Caenorhabditis elegans: one gene and its partner. The protein of the gene in region 2 interacts with the protein of the main gene of each other region in a pairwise test. Each region holds a gene or a part of one and is shown on either strand. Other genes may lie near its edges.

Region 1 (4,806 bases), on a different chromosome or scaffold from region 2:
GTAAACGCCCAGACGTATTAGTGTCATAGACTTTTCGTCAGACTTTAAATGAAAATTTTGAAACAGTATAAAAATTTTTGAAGATAAAATTGTCGATTGCTGAAATGCCGTGCACCCCTGAACTATACCTCTGTATAGGAATTAATATCACTGATGAACTGTAGTTCCGAGCTTATCAACTCCTCAATGATTCTGCATCGTTTATCCTCATCATTTGATGCTCCTTCGGTGGCGGAAATCAGTCCAATTTCGAAGTCACTGCCAGCAGACTGGATCGCAGGGTTACTTGGTTTTGGAGTATCTGTCATTCCAAACATGTCAGCCACGTTGCCAATATCATTGATAGGTGATTGAATAGAACTTTGCTTAGGAGGTGGTGGTCGGGCTGGAGCTGAAGTCTTTGCTAGCTGAACTGGAGCAATCCATTCTTCGCCGAAGGTTGCCCAATTTTGGGCAGGTTTTGATGCAGGCGCTGCCGGTGGAACTGCTTCAAAGGTTGCCCAATCGGTGTTTGTTCTTCCAGCGGGTGGTCTCCAATCGGATGAGGATTCAGCATTTGAGATGAAGGAGGAACGATTGTTGGAGCTACCAAACTGAAAAAAAATAATTGATTTAACTATAAAAACCTATTTTCTTCAAGTCTCACCGTAAAATCGCTGGTCCCTCCAGTTCCACGCCTCATAGCATTTGAAGATTGATTATCGTCATCTTCTTCATCCAGATAAACTTCTAAAAATCCTACAGGTACAATTCCAGTCTTCTCTGTATCTGGATCCTTGCACATAACCCATTCATCATTGACCATTCGTAGTACTCGAACAGTGTCTCCAGCATTCACAGTCAGCTCATCTCCTTGACGACCGGAAAACGCGTGCCGAACATTCGCAAATCCGATTCCATCATTCTCGGTGGTCGTGCTTCGTCGGTTATTTTGAAGCGATGTAGTGTCATCGTCAGGTAGATCAACGATGATTTGAACGAAAGAAGTGGGGAATATTCCGACACGAGCAGATCCTATCGATCCTTCAAGCCATTCTGCATCGATTCGACGACGTAAGCTGATGATTTCGTCGGCAGAGAAAGAGAGCTCGTTTTCAAATTCGCCTCTGGAAAATATATAGATAAATTAGAATATTGAGAAGATTGAAATGAATTTTGAAACTGAATAAAAACACATTATTTATCCTACTTTGACGTGACAATATTTCACAATAAGATACAGTAGTACTGGCCAAAAAAGTATCCATTTTAAATGAGTATAACTCGAGAACTAGGAATGTTATTGAAAAATGCTCAGCCAACAAAAAATTACCTATAACTAGTTCTACTTGTTTTCATAGACCCAAAACAGTCATGACAAAAAATAAAGCGTCAGATATTTTGTGAGTCAAGATTATTACTGCAACTCAAAAACCACATTTTTAATGGAAAGTTTGTAAAAATAAATTAATCTTCATGTAATATTTTATTTCTTGCACGTGCTAACTTTTTTCTTTACAACGGCCATGATAAAATCATATTTTAGTTATGTATTTTAACCAATTTAATCCAAAAATTTGTGAAAAAATCGTTTAAAAAGGCGTAACACTTTTCCCGTTTCAACTGCCATATATATTTTTTCCTGACTTTTTGGTTTTTGATAGAGATGTGTTTAATGCAAATATTTGGCATATTTGAAAAGTGATTTAAATATTGATTTACTGTTACGCACTTTCTATTAAAAATTTGGTTTTCGAGCACAATTTAGTGATGATAGCATTAAAATTGGTAAAAATTAGCGAAATTATCAACGAAAAAAAACTGAAAGTGGGCACCACGTTGGAAGACAAATTTTTTAAATGTGTTTTTGAATTTGAAAAAAAAATTTCAATTCATTAAACGTAAAAACTCACTGAAAATCATAAACAGCTCTAGCGTACGGCGACACTGCATAATTCGAAGTTGCCGCTTTCGGAGCAGTGGCAGGCGTCCGAAATCGGACATCAGCCTCACTGAAATCCGTGGTGAATGACGGCTTCATCGGACTTTCAGCAGAAACATGCAAATTGACCAAATGTGCCTCCGGTAACAATCCACGGCGTCCTATTTGAACAGCGTTGTCATTCACCAGGAATCCGTCCAGATAACCAGGATTTGAACGCGACGGTTTTGCTACTGAAAATGTGATTGATTGATAAAATTGGTTAGTTAACTGATTGGTTGCAAAAATTAGAGAAATAAATTGTTGGAAAAAGTATATACCAAAGATTGAAAATTCTGCAAATGAGAGATCATCGGAGCGGATAGAGGTGTAAGCTTCAATTGAGCAATACACCTGCTCGTCAGGTTGTCTGCAAGAATATAGAAACAGTCTCAGATAAAATGAAATGCATATTGTTATTTCACAAAATTTTGCCATGCTATTTTAAAGGCACACGGGTTCATTCAGATAGGTCTCGGCGCGCGAATAAGTTTGTGGTAGTCTTTTTTTCGTGTTAAAAATTATTTCAGTGCTCAAAACACAGAGAAAATTTGTATTAAAATTTTTTTCTGTTTCTCGGTCAGCTAAAAATCATTTAAGTTAAAAGGAAATCGATAATCTTAAATTATAGAAAAAGAGTGTATTTGTACTTTGAAAACTGATATTTAAAAACAAAGCGGTGAAATTCGCATAATAAACGAAGAAACAATCGCAAAATTTTTTCGCGCCGAGACCCATCTAAATAAATCCGTGCGCCTTTAAGAAGGAATTTCAAAATCTTGTGAAACGACAATCTTTTAGAGAGAAAGCAAAAACCTTTTCGGGTCGACGATGGGCAATGTAAGAACTCTGGGAACCCGACCGGAAACCCCTTCGATGGTTTGAATGTGACACCTAGAAATGTTAAGATTTTATAAATTGGCACTGCCACGTGGCACTGACCAATCCCCCTCCTCACGGACCACCTTAACAATCTGATCTTGGGCTACAGAACACCGCGTTTCGGGATCTTGTGTGGCATTTGAAATTCTTACCCACGAGAGGTGGGCCATACTGCAAAATTTTGGAAAATTTGAGAAAAAAGTGTTCAGACGCAGACGGAGTTAGTCAAGCTTTTTTTTTGAAAATTACATCAAAAATTCAATTAAATTTCCAATTTTCGAATAGAACACTAGTTCCTATTGCAAAATGTTTATAGTTTCTATGGTGTTAGATTGGATTTCGTCAGTGAGACGAGAAACTAAACAATATTTTTATAAAATAAACAATTAGTAAGCGATAGACCAGCCAGAGACCAATTTTGTGAAATTTTCTTTTTTTCAAAAATTCCCAATTTTTAGCTAAAAACCCCAGTTGTAAAAAAAGGATTATTTCAATGAAAAGCCATCACAATTGAAACATGAAAAGTGCGTGTTGGGATATGAAAAATCGATATTCTCATCGAGAAGAAGACGTGCTGCTGCGACGTCGCCCGCCCCACCAGCCGAGAAATCGAAAGATGCAAGTTCGCTCTATCGTTCAACTACTTGTCATGTTTTGAGGAGACGCAACGGGATGAGGAGGGGGCAAGACACAACAAACACGCACACAAAAAAAAGCACTTGTGTGCACACAAAATTGAGGGAATTAAATCGAGGAAGAAAATGCCGAAAAAAACTGCAAAAAAAAACTAATAATGAGGAACCGAAAATGTCATCAATGAATACGAGTTTTTTGAAGAAAAAGGCTTTAAAATTGATGTAAATATTTTTATTTTTTTCGTAAACTGAACCCTAAATTGATAAACGGAAAAACTGATAAAAAGTTATGATGAAAAAAACAAACAGGAAAAAGAATTGTTTTTGTTTACAAAATATAGTTTAAATTTTAAATTCTCTGAGTTCGAAGAGGACTTTTTTTCAAAATCGTTTTGTCGCGCGGTCAGCCTTTGGTTTTGAGCGTTTCTGAGAAAAATTTGAGTAGATCACACGTAGATCATATTATATCTTCTTCTAATTTCACATTTAAATGTGCATTTCTATAGATTTTCCCTAAAATTTTGTGTGATCTACACTTGATCTGCCCTAAATTTTCACAGAAACACTTAAAAACTTGTTTTGTTTTCTCGTGAATAATATTTTTCTAATCAAAATTTTAATATAAAGGAACCAAATAAACATGAGGATTTTCAATTAAACAAATCTTTTGAAACAGTAATTTTTCCCGGTGAACAAAATTGCAGTAACCAAGTTTAAAAATTCCATATTTTTTCACAATTTCCAAGTAAACAAAAACTAAATTTTTAAACAAATAATTTTTATTATAAGCACATAAAATATGAAATCCTGGCTACAATTGGTGGAATATTGTCATAGTTTCCTCCATTTTCGATCCAGCGGTTCGTTACAAGCCTGGAATTTAATTGCTTTTTATTTTAAAAATAAAAATCACTTACTTCAAAATTTTCCCATCACAACTATTCCCAGAATAAGTAGTTTCTTCTGTTGATACTGCTAGGAGGAGTACAGTTTTTGGGATGGGAAAAGTTCCATGGTCCGCAAAGGCATGGAGCACTAAAACTGCATCCCATGCAAGAAGATCAATATTTGTCAGGACTGCTGTTCTAGGTGTCATTTGTGATGCGAGAGCTAAAGTGGTAAGTGAAATAAATTTCAAGAGATTTTCGGAAAAATACATTTACAACTATATAACGTAAGTGTCAAAAATGCCCAAAATTAATGAACTTGGTGAAACAGTTAAAAAAAAACTAACCATTGTTCAATATTGCATGTAGCTCTCCTCTTTCAAGTTGATTTCCAATTTCAATTGGTAAATTATTTGAATTTGTCTCTGATTTAGAATTTTGA
Region 2 (6,929 bases):
CCTCCTAAAAAAAAAAAAGAAACATGGATGGAAAGGGTGTGTTATATGAAATTGGACGAAAAATGAAGAGAATACAGAGAAACGAATGGAACTTGAGAAGAACAAAAACAGGTTTTCCTGTGGAGATGACGGGGGGGGGGGGGATTGGCTAAAGGCGTCGAAGATTTATAATATCTTCCTGGTCGCGTTGCGAAATGGATGGATGGACATTGGTGGCAAACGGGCGGTGGGGGAAATGGCAGAAATTGCAAGAAAATTCTGAACGAAAAACTTCTAGTATGTAGTACTTTTTTGCAGTCGGTGACGAATGCCCCGCTGCTGCTTGGGTTGAGGATAGCTCATTGGCAAATAGAGAAGTTACGAAATATCTGAACAGGTTTTTTTTTCTGTTGACACGTCATTCATGCTTGTTTTAAATGTTTCCAATATTTTTAATTAAAACTTCCAAAAAAAAAACCCTCTTAAATTGATAAATTGAGAACTTATAATTGAAAATACAACAGTAGTAATAAAAAAATGCTAAAGTTGAACCAGTGTTTATTAACTCCATATTGTTCACAGAAACAAAAAAAAATAACAAGCATTACATCAAATTGACAGAATTTCCAAAAAAATTAGCTATTAGACTCTGTGTGCTTCAGAGTTTGTTGTTCGGGTAATCGAGTTTCTCCATCTCTCGGTTGTTAGCATTTACATTTCCATGCGTCATCGATACCTAAAATATTTATTTTCAATAATTGGCATTTTCTGAATGATGGGTGGGGGGTGCAGCAGCGCATTTTTTTTATTGCAAAAAAAAATCTCACCTGTTGTGGATTGAATTGATTTCTAGAAATCTGATTCGATACAGAGTCATCAACTTTTCGCTGCTTCTGCTGAAACGTGTCATCCAGCTCAAACTGATTCCTCCACTCGTTCTGATCCTGTTGTCGTGGCCGCGCCCGTGATTGGAGGTGCTGTTGGGAACTGCTCTGCGCTTGTGGCATGTGCTGGCGTTGTTGTTGCTGTTGCTGCTGTTGCTGCATTTGCTGTTGCTGGAGCTGCTGTTGGAGTTGAGCCTGTTTCTGCTGCTGCTCCAGTTGCGTTCTAGAAATTTCTACATATATAATTTTTCTCTCTTTAGTTTTAAAATTTCTTGTCTATTTCGAACACCACAAAATTTTTGGTAGTCTCCTGATGACGCAATTATTTTCTCTGAGTTTGTGTCATAGGAGCAGCTGTCCAAAAAGTCCAAAATCTCATAAGGTTCACACGAGACCAAACTTTGTACTTGTACTTACCGCTGTGTCTGCTGATACTGCTGCTGCTGTTGCTGTTGTGGTTGAGAGTACTGATAGTTTGGATTGTGGTAATTTTGCTGATGAGCAGAGAAGCGTCTTCTCCCAGCATCAACTTCCATGGCATCTCCTTCGTCAAACGATGATGTGACGGAAATTGGGTTGGCAGAAGATCCAGGCGCCTGGCGATACATCCCGTTATCTTCCACATAGACTGATCCAACCGACGGAGATTCCATCACTTGACTCATTTGGCTTGACGGCTGCTGTATGTACAATTGCTGTTGTTGCTGAAGGTTCGAGTGAGACACCGGCTAAAAAATTAAATATTGAAAGAAAATTTAAAAAATTTAAATTTTAATAAAAATTAAAAATTAAATTAAAAAAAACACACCGGTTGAGATGGAACTCGCTCTTCCTTCTGCTTCAAGAACGGATGCCGAACCACATAATAGGGCGAAATTCTTTGTTTGGGGTCAAATTGCAACATTCTCTTTATTAAGTCTTTGAATTTGCTGTAATCTTCAACAGAATGTCCTGGCTCTCCAAGCCGGCGACCTCCGGGCCCGCCAGAAGTCACACCCAGAATTTCGTGAAGTTTCCTGGCTCCAGGAGCTTTGTAGGTATGGCGGTATCCGTCACGAGTCTTCTTACAATAGTAGATCCCATCCTCAGTTTTGTCAAAATACTTGTGTGTTTTCGGGCCAATGTCTAACATCTCTTTTGGTGGCATACCAAGAACTTCCACAATTTTCATCATTTGGTCAACCTCCGATGACCCGGCAAACAGCGGCTCTCCGGTGTGCATTTCGACGAGAATGCATCCCAGGGACCACATATCAATTTTCGTGTCGTACGCGATGCCGAGCAGCACTTCCGGCGAACGATAGAATCTCGACTGAATGTACTGGTAGATTCGGTGTCCAGTCTGACAAGAAGATCCAAAATCTATCACACGAATTTGAGACCGCTTCGCGTTAACTAGTAGCACATTTTCCGGCTTCAAATCACAATGGATAATCGATAATTCTGGAGATGACAGGAAGAGAAGAGTTTTTCCTAATTGCTGGGCAAATTTGCGTGCCAAATTCAACGAAACGCCACGGAAACTGGTGTTCTTCAAAAGATCATAGAGGTTGTAGGAGAGAAGCTCGAATACCAAGCAAAGATGAGCCCGATGCACAAAGTGCCCTTTGAGCGTAACTGAAAATTTGAAAAGTTGATTCTATCAACATTGAATATGTTAATATGTCATGCAACTTACCAATATTATACTTATTATCCTTGTCATGTGCATTTGTCAATTCTAAAAGATGAATCTCAATCTGAGCTTGATCGAAGAAAGTCTTCTTATTCTTGATAATTTTAATAGCGACTTCTTCTTTATTCAGCGTGTCGTAAGCTTTTGTAACTTGCCCGAAAGATCCTTTGCCAACCGGCGTGTCACTGAGAATCACGTATCTGAAAAATAGGCTGTTAGTCAAATAAGTTTCGTGCTTTCAGCATACCTCTTGTCAAATATCTCTCCATTTTTAAGAATATAGTCGTAATTCTGATCGTCATACCCGTTATTGTACGGACCGCCACGACTACTTTTCTGTCGCTGCTGCTGTTGAAGATCAGTCTCTGTGCGCATAGGAACAACCATTGTTGAGGTGGGCGGAGCATTAGTGTCAAGTAGAGGAGGACTGAAAGTCAAAAAAAAAAGTGAACTCTTCAAATATCACACGAAAACAACATACGCATTTTGATGAGCATCTTGCTGATAATGATTATCAGAACTCGTAATTGGAATCGCATTGTGAATGGAGAATGTGTCAGTCAGGCTCGCCCCGGAACCATCCTTGGATCCCTTTGGCTTTCCGGCATCTTGACTCTTGTGACGATCACGTCGAACCTGTTTCCGTAGGTAGAAAGACTGAAACTTTTATAGCGGTATTAAGACTCTCTTCCATCTTCGCCTACCTCATTGATAGCCTTGTAAGTTTTGATGAGATCACTGGTTAGTTTTCTGACTGGCGCGTCTTGAGGATTTCGGAATTGTTGAATTTGGAGTGGCTTTGAGGTAGCTGGAATGTGTACAATTTATTTTTATTTTTTATTCTTATAATATTTTCACAAAAGCTAGCCAAACTTACATTCAAACGGGATACCAATCATTCCAATTCCAGCCGGAACAGTATCTGTCGAGAACTGGCCAATATTTCTCTGAAACTTTTGAGACATATGTGTCAAGAAGTTGAATCATCTAGGCTGTACCTTCTTTGCGGCTTGTTTTTCCGGAGGCATTCCGGGAGTTAGTGCCGCTTCTGCATTAGTCATGGATACGCGATGCTTCTTTGGCCGGACTTGGGTGACCTGAAACTTGTAAGATTGCAACATTAGAAGGTACTCTAGGATCAGTCTGAAAAAGCGCTTGCAGAATTTGGAGCGGGGGCAAAAACTATCAAAGGACAAAGTGATCATTTCGGAGACTGAAAAAGTTGTTGAGGTTGGGCATGGCCACGAATGTGCAGAGCGGTAGTATAACAACAGGAGAGACAAAACGTCCGCACCGCAATGCAAACGCAAATGCTGATTTCTTGTTGAGTGTGTAGAAAAGAAAAGAGATAGGGGGAGAGGAAATGATGGGAGAGAAGAGGGAAAAGAACGGAATAGTGTAAAGCTCGACTTTCGCCCTTCAGTGATTACTGCCCTGTTGCATAAGAACACCCGATGAAGGAAATTATGTGAAAACCTAGAATTGATTGCTGCAACTATGTGAAGCACGTCGGTAACTGATAAGAAATTTGAACAGATTAAACTAGTTTTTTTTTTGTTTTTTGAACTAATAAGCAATTAGTTAAATACTAAAATACTAAAAAAATTAATAGCAGAACACCTAAAATCTTGATAAATTACTACCATTCAAATTGAGAAAAAAAATCAAAAATTTTGGTAATGTTCAATTAGTAGGCTTCAGTTAACAGGTTAATTTTAAATGTAAAAGTAGTTGATTTTGAAACTTTAAAATAAACAATTCTACTACTCATGGGATTTGTTGCCAAACAAATTTAAATCTTAACGTTGATGATACTATTAAAACTGTAAAATAACATTGAAAGCTTGCAAATACAAAAGTTCATATTTTGATACAAAAATGATACGAAAAATCTTCAGAATCCAATTTTTTTTCCATTTTTTTCCAGGAAAACGGCAATTTTCTATTAATCACAAAAAATCAGTCAATCGTTATTTTTTTTCAAAATCAGATTCTTTTGAATCACGGTTTTATCAACGTAACAATGGCAACGGCTCATAAAGCTTTATTTTTCAAAAATAGATTTTAGATTTAGAAATTAAAATGAAATATTTTCCAAATATCATCATATTTTATAATTAGTTTATTTTTGCAAATTTGAAATTTATCTGTTATTTTTCAAAATGAAAATTATTTACAGCAATGTGGGGGTGAGCAGCGTTTAAATATTCCATTTTAGAATGATGTGATTTTTTCAAACACAAAAAAAAAAACGTTCTACAAACCTCTTGCTGTGGATAGAAAGCGTGTGAATTCGTCTTAATTGAAGTGATTGGTGGCTGTGGGAATCTCAGAATGTTGGAATGTGGTTGACGGCTTTGTGCAATGAAACGTTGTGCATTTTGCTGTTGAATGTGTTGCTGCTCTTGCTGTTTTTGCTGCTTCTGAAGTTCGTCAGCTTGCACGTCTTGAAGTTGAAAGTCCTCGTTCATCGGTTCGGTGTCGCAAAGATTATTGTGATTGATAGGCGGAAGATTAGTCATTTGTGAGTGTTGCTGGGTATTTGAGTAACTTGATGATGGTTGTTGGCCCCATGATTGAAGATTGTCAGGCACGTCTGCTGTGTTCATGTTTTCCTGAAATTTTTTGAAAATTTGTTAAAATCTTCAAACTAATTATGACAATTTTCAAGAGAACGAGCAGAATAGAGTAAATCAAAAAAAAAAACATAAAAATTTAATATTCAAAAGAGAATATAACAAGAAAAAGATTAAAATTCACGGAAAATTGCAATATTTGAAATATTTGAAAAAAAAATTAAATTTTACAAGAAAAAAACAAGTAGTTCCACTACAATTATTTATGAAACGATAAAAATTCATTGGAGAGGCAAAGAGAAACACGGAGGAGAGATCACATGTGAATGAGAGGGCTCGAAAGAGTGTGGTGAGCGGAGAGAGTCGAGGACACGCAACGCGACACGCAGCGCTCTCAACAACTGATGAGAGAGTGGGGAACATGGGTTAACGGGGACGAACGGAGTGGGGACGAACGGTGGAACGATACAAAGACACAAAAAGTTCTGCAGCTGGAAATGGTTCGAGCAGGTGCGCCATCTGCCACAAAGAGTTACATTTTACAGAAAAAAAAGTTCCAGGTGGATTATGTATTTAAAAAGGGGTGTATTGAAAAAGTATAACACGTGATATTTGATAATAAGACCACAACTTAAGGATTGTGGTTTGAAAAAAAAACTATTTTATAAAAATGAAAACTTAACATGAGAAATCAAGAAGATTTGCGTTTCGAACCCCGTAAATTGAACTTTTTGTTGAGATTTCAATGCACTTCGAGATAATTGAGGGTTTTGCTGTAATTTTGAAAATTTATTCTGAAACCTTTAACAAATCTTGAATTAACATTTCACATGGTAACACGCATATAGTTTGAGAAGTGGAAATCATTAAAAAAAGTAATGTTCGAATTCTACCTCTGGGAAAGAACTTATTTATATGGGAAAACTTGAATAAAACTTACGCTTTACGCACGTGATGCCAGGCTGTCCCACTACGGTTTGTTCTACAAAAAATGCGGGAATTTTTTGCTCAAAAAAATGTGACGTCAGCACGTTCTTAACCATGCGAAATCAGTTGAGAAGTCTGCGTCTCAACTCCCGAATTTTTTGTAGATCTACGTAGATCGAACCGAAATGAGACACTCTGGCACCACGTGTTTACGGTGTATAAGCATCAGTTTATTGTCGTTTTTTCTGGCCCGATCTCGGGATATTTTTTTCCAAATAATAAAATTACAGGTGGCCAAGCAACATAGTATTTTGAAAACATTTTAAAAAAATCTTTGAGTTTGTCTATAAAATATTCTAACTCTAAAAATTAGCTGCGTTTTAAAATATGTATCCTCAAAAACTAAGTAAACTTATATTAAAGTACAAAATTGTATAAACACGTCTAACACAATACAAAACACTTGCAGAAAATAAAATGTTTTATTTTGAGTCTTCTATGAAACCATTTCAAACATATAAAACATGAGAAATAAACCTTTCCAAACTCAAAAAAAAACTATAAAATATCATAGGAGATTCGATTGAAGTTCCTCAAGAAAAATCTACTGACAGCTGCCGTTGGTGGACTCCTGCCATACTGAAAGTGCATTTGTAAATTTAAAGTTCATAAGAAATCCGTGCTCTTGATACCTTGATACATACTTGATACAACAAAAAACGAAAAAAAAAATCAAAAGCTATTCAGAAATTTGTGATGTTTGGTTTCAAAAAGATACTTGTTTATCGCTTTGATCTTTCAACTTTTTTATAATAAGAATTGTTTGCTTATATTTTTTATACGTTTCAGACATTTGAATTTTTATGCGGTTGTTTAAGTGTATTACAT

The links.
Region 1: the proteins of mbk-1 (region 2) and dnbp-1 interact in a two-hybrid assay, tested with the Caenorhabditis elegans proteins (one large-scale study listed by BioGRID).

Annotation. Positions count from the first base shown.
Region 1 is NC_003282.8:13,976,828-13,981,633, forward strand, and holds the start of dnbp-1 (SH3 domain-containing GRB2-like protein), read right to left. Parts: upstream 3,021-4,806; 5' UTR 3,013-3,020; coding exon 2,903-3,012; intron 2,855-2,902; coding exon 2,777-2,854; intron 2,703-2,776; exon of another isoform or gene 2,682-2,702; intron 2,597-2,681; exon of another isoform or gene 2,576-2,596; intron 2,331-2,575; coding exon 2,242-2,330; intron 2,155-2,241; coding exon 1,893-2,154; intron 1,769-1,892; exon of another isoform or gene 1,748-1,768; intron 1,662-1,747; exon of another isoform or gene 1,641-1,661; intron 1,107-1,640; coding exon 647-1,106; intron 594-646; coding exon 129-593; intron 21-128; exon of another isoform or gene 1-20. Other genes in the region: gei-18 (GEX Interacting protein), read right to left, coding at 4,260-4,350, 4,395-4,587, 4,712-4,806.
Region 2 is NC_003284.9:14,819,388-14,826,316, forward strand, and holds mbk-1 (Dual specificity tyrosine-phosphorylation-regulated kinase mbk-1), read right to left. Parts: upstream 5,154-6,929; 5' UTR 5,148-5,153; coding exon 4,803-5,147; intron 3,636-4,802; coding exon 3,537-3,635; intron 3,486-3,536; coding exon 3,416-3,485; intron 3,347-3,415; coding exon 3,243-3,346; intron 3,196-3,242; coding exon 3,020-3,195; intron 2,966-3,019; coding exon 2,786-2,965; intron 2,739-2,785; coding exon 2,542-2,738; intron 2,481-2,541; coding exon 1,672-2,480; intron 1,592-1,671; coding exon 1,281-1,591; intron 1,087-1,280; coding exon 807-1,086; intron 716-806; coding exon 638-715; 3' UTR 522-637; downstream 1-521. UniProt on the Caenorhabditis elegans protein: Possible role in the function of olfactory neurons.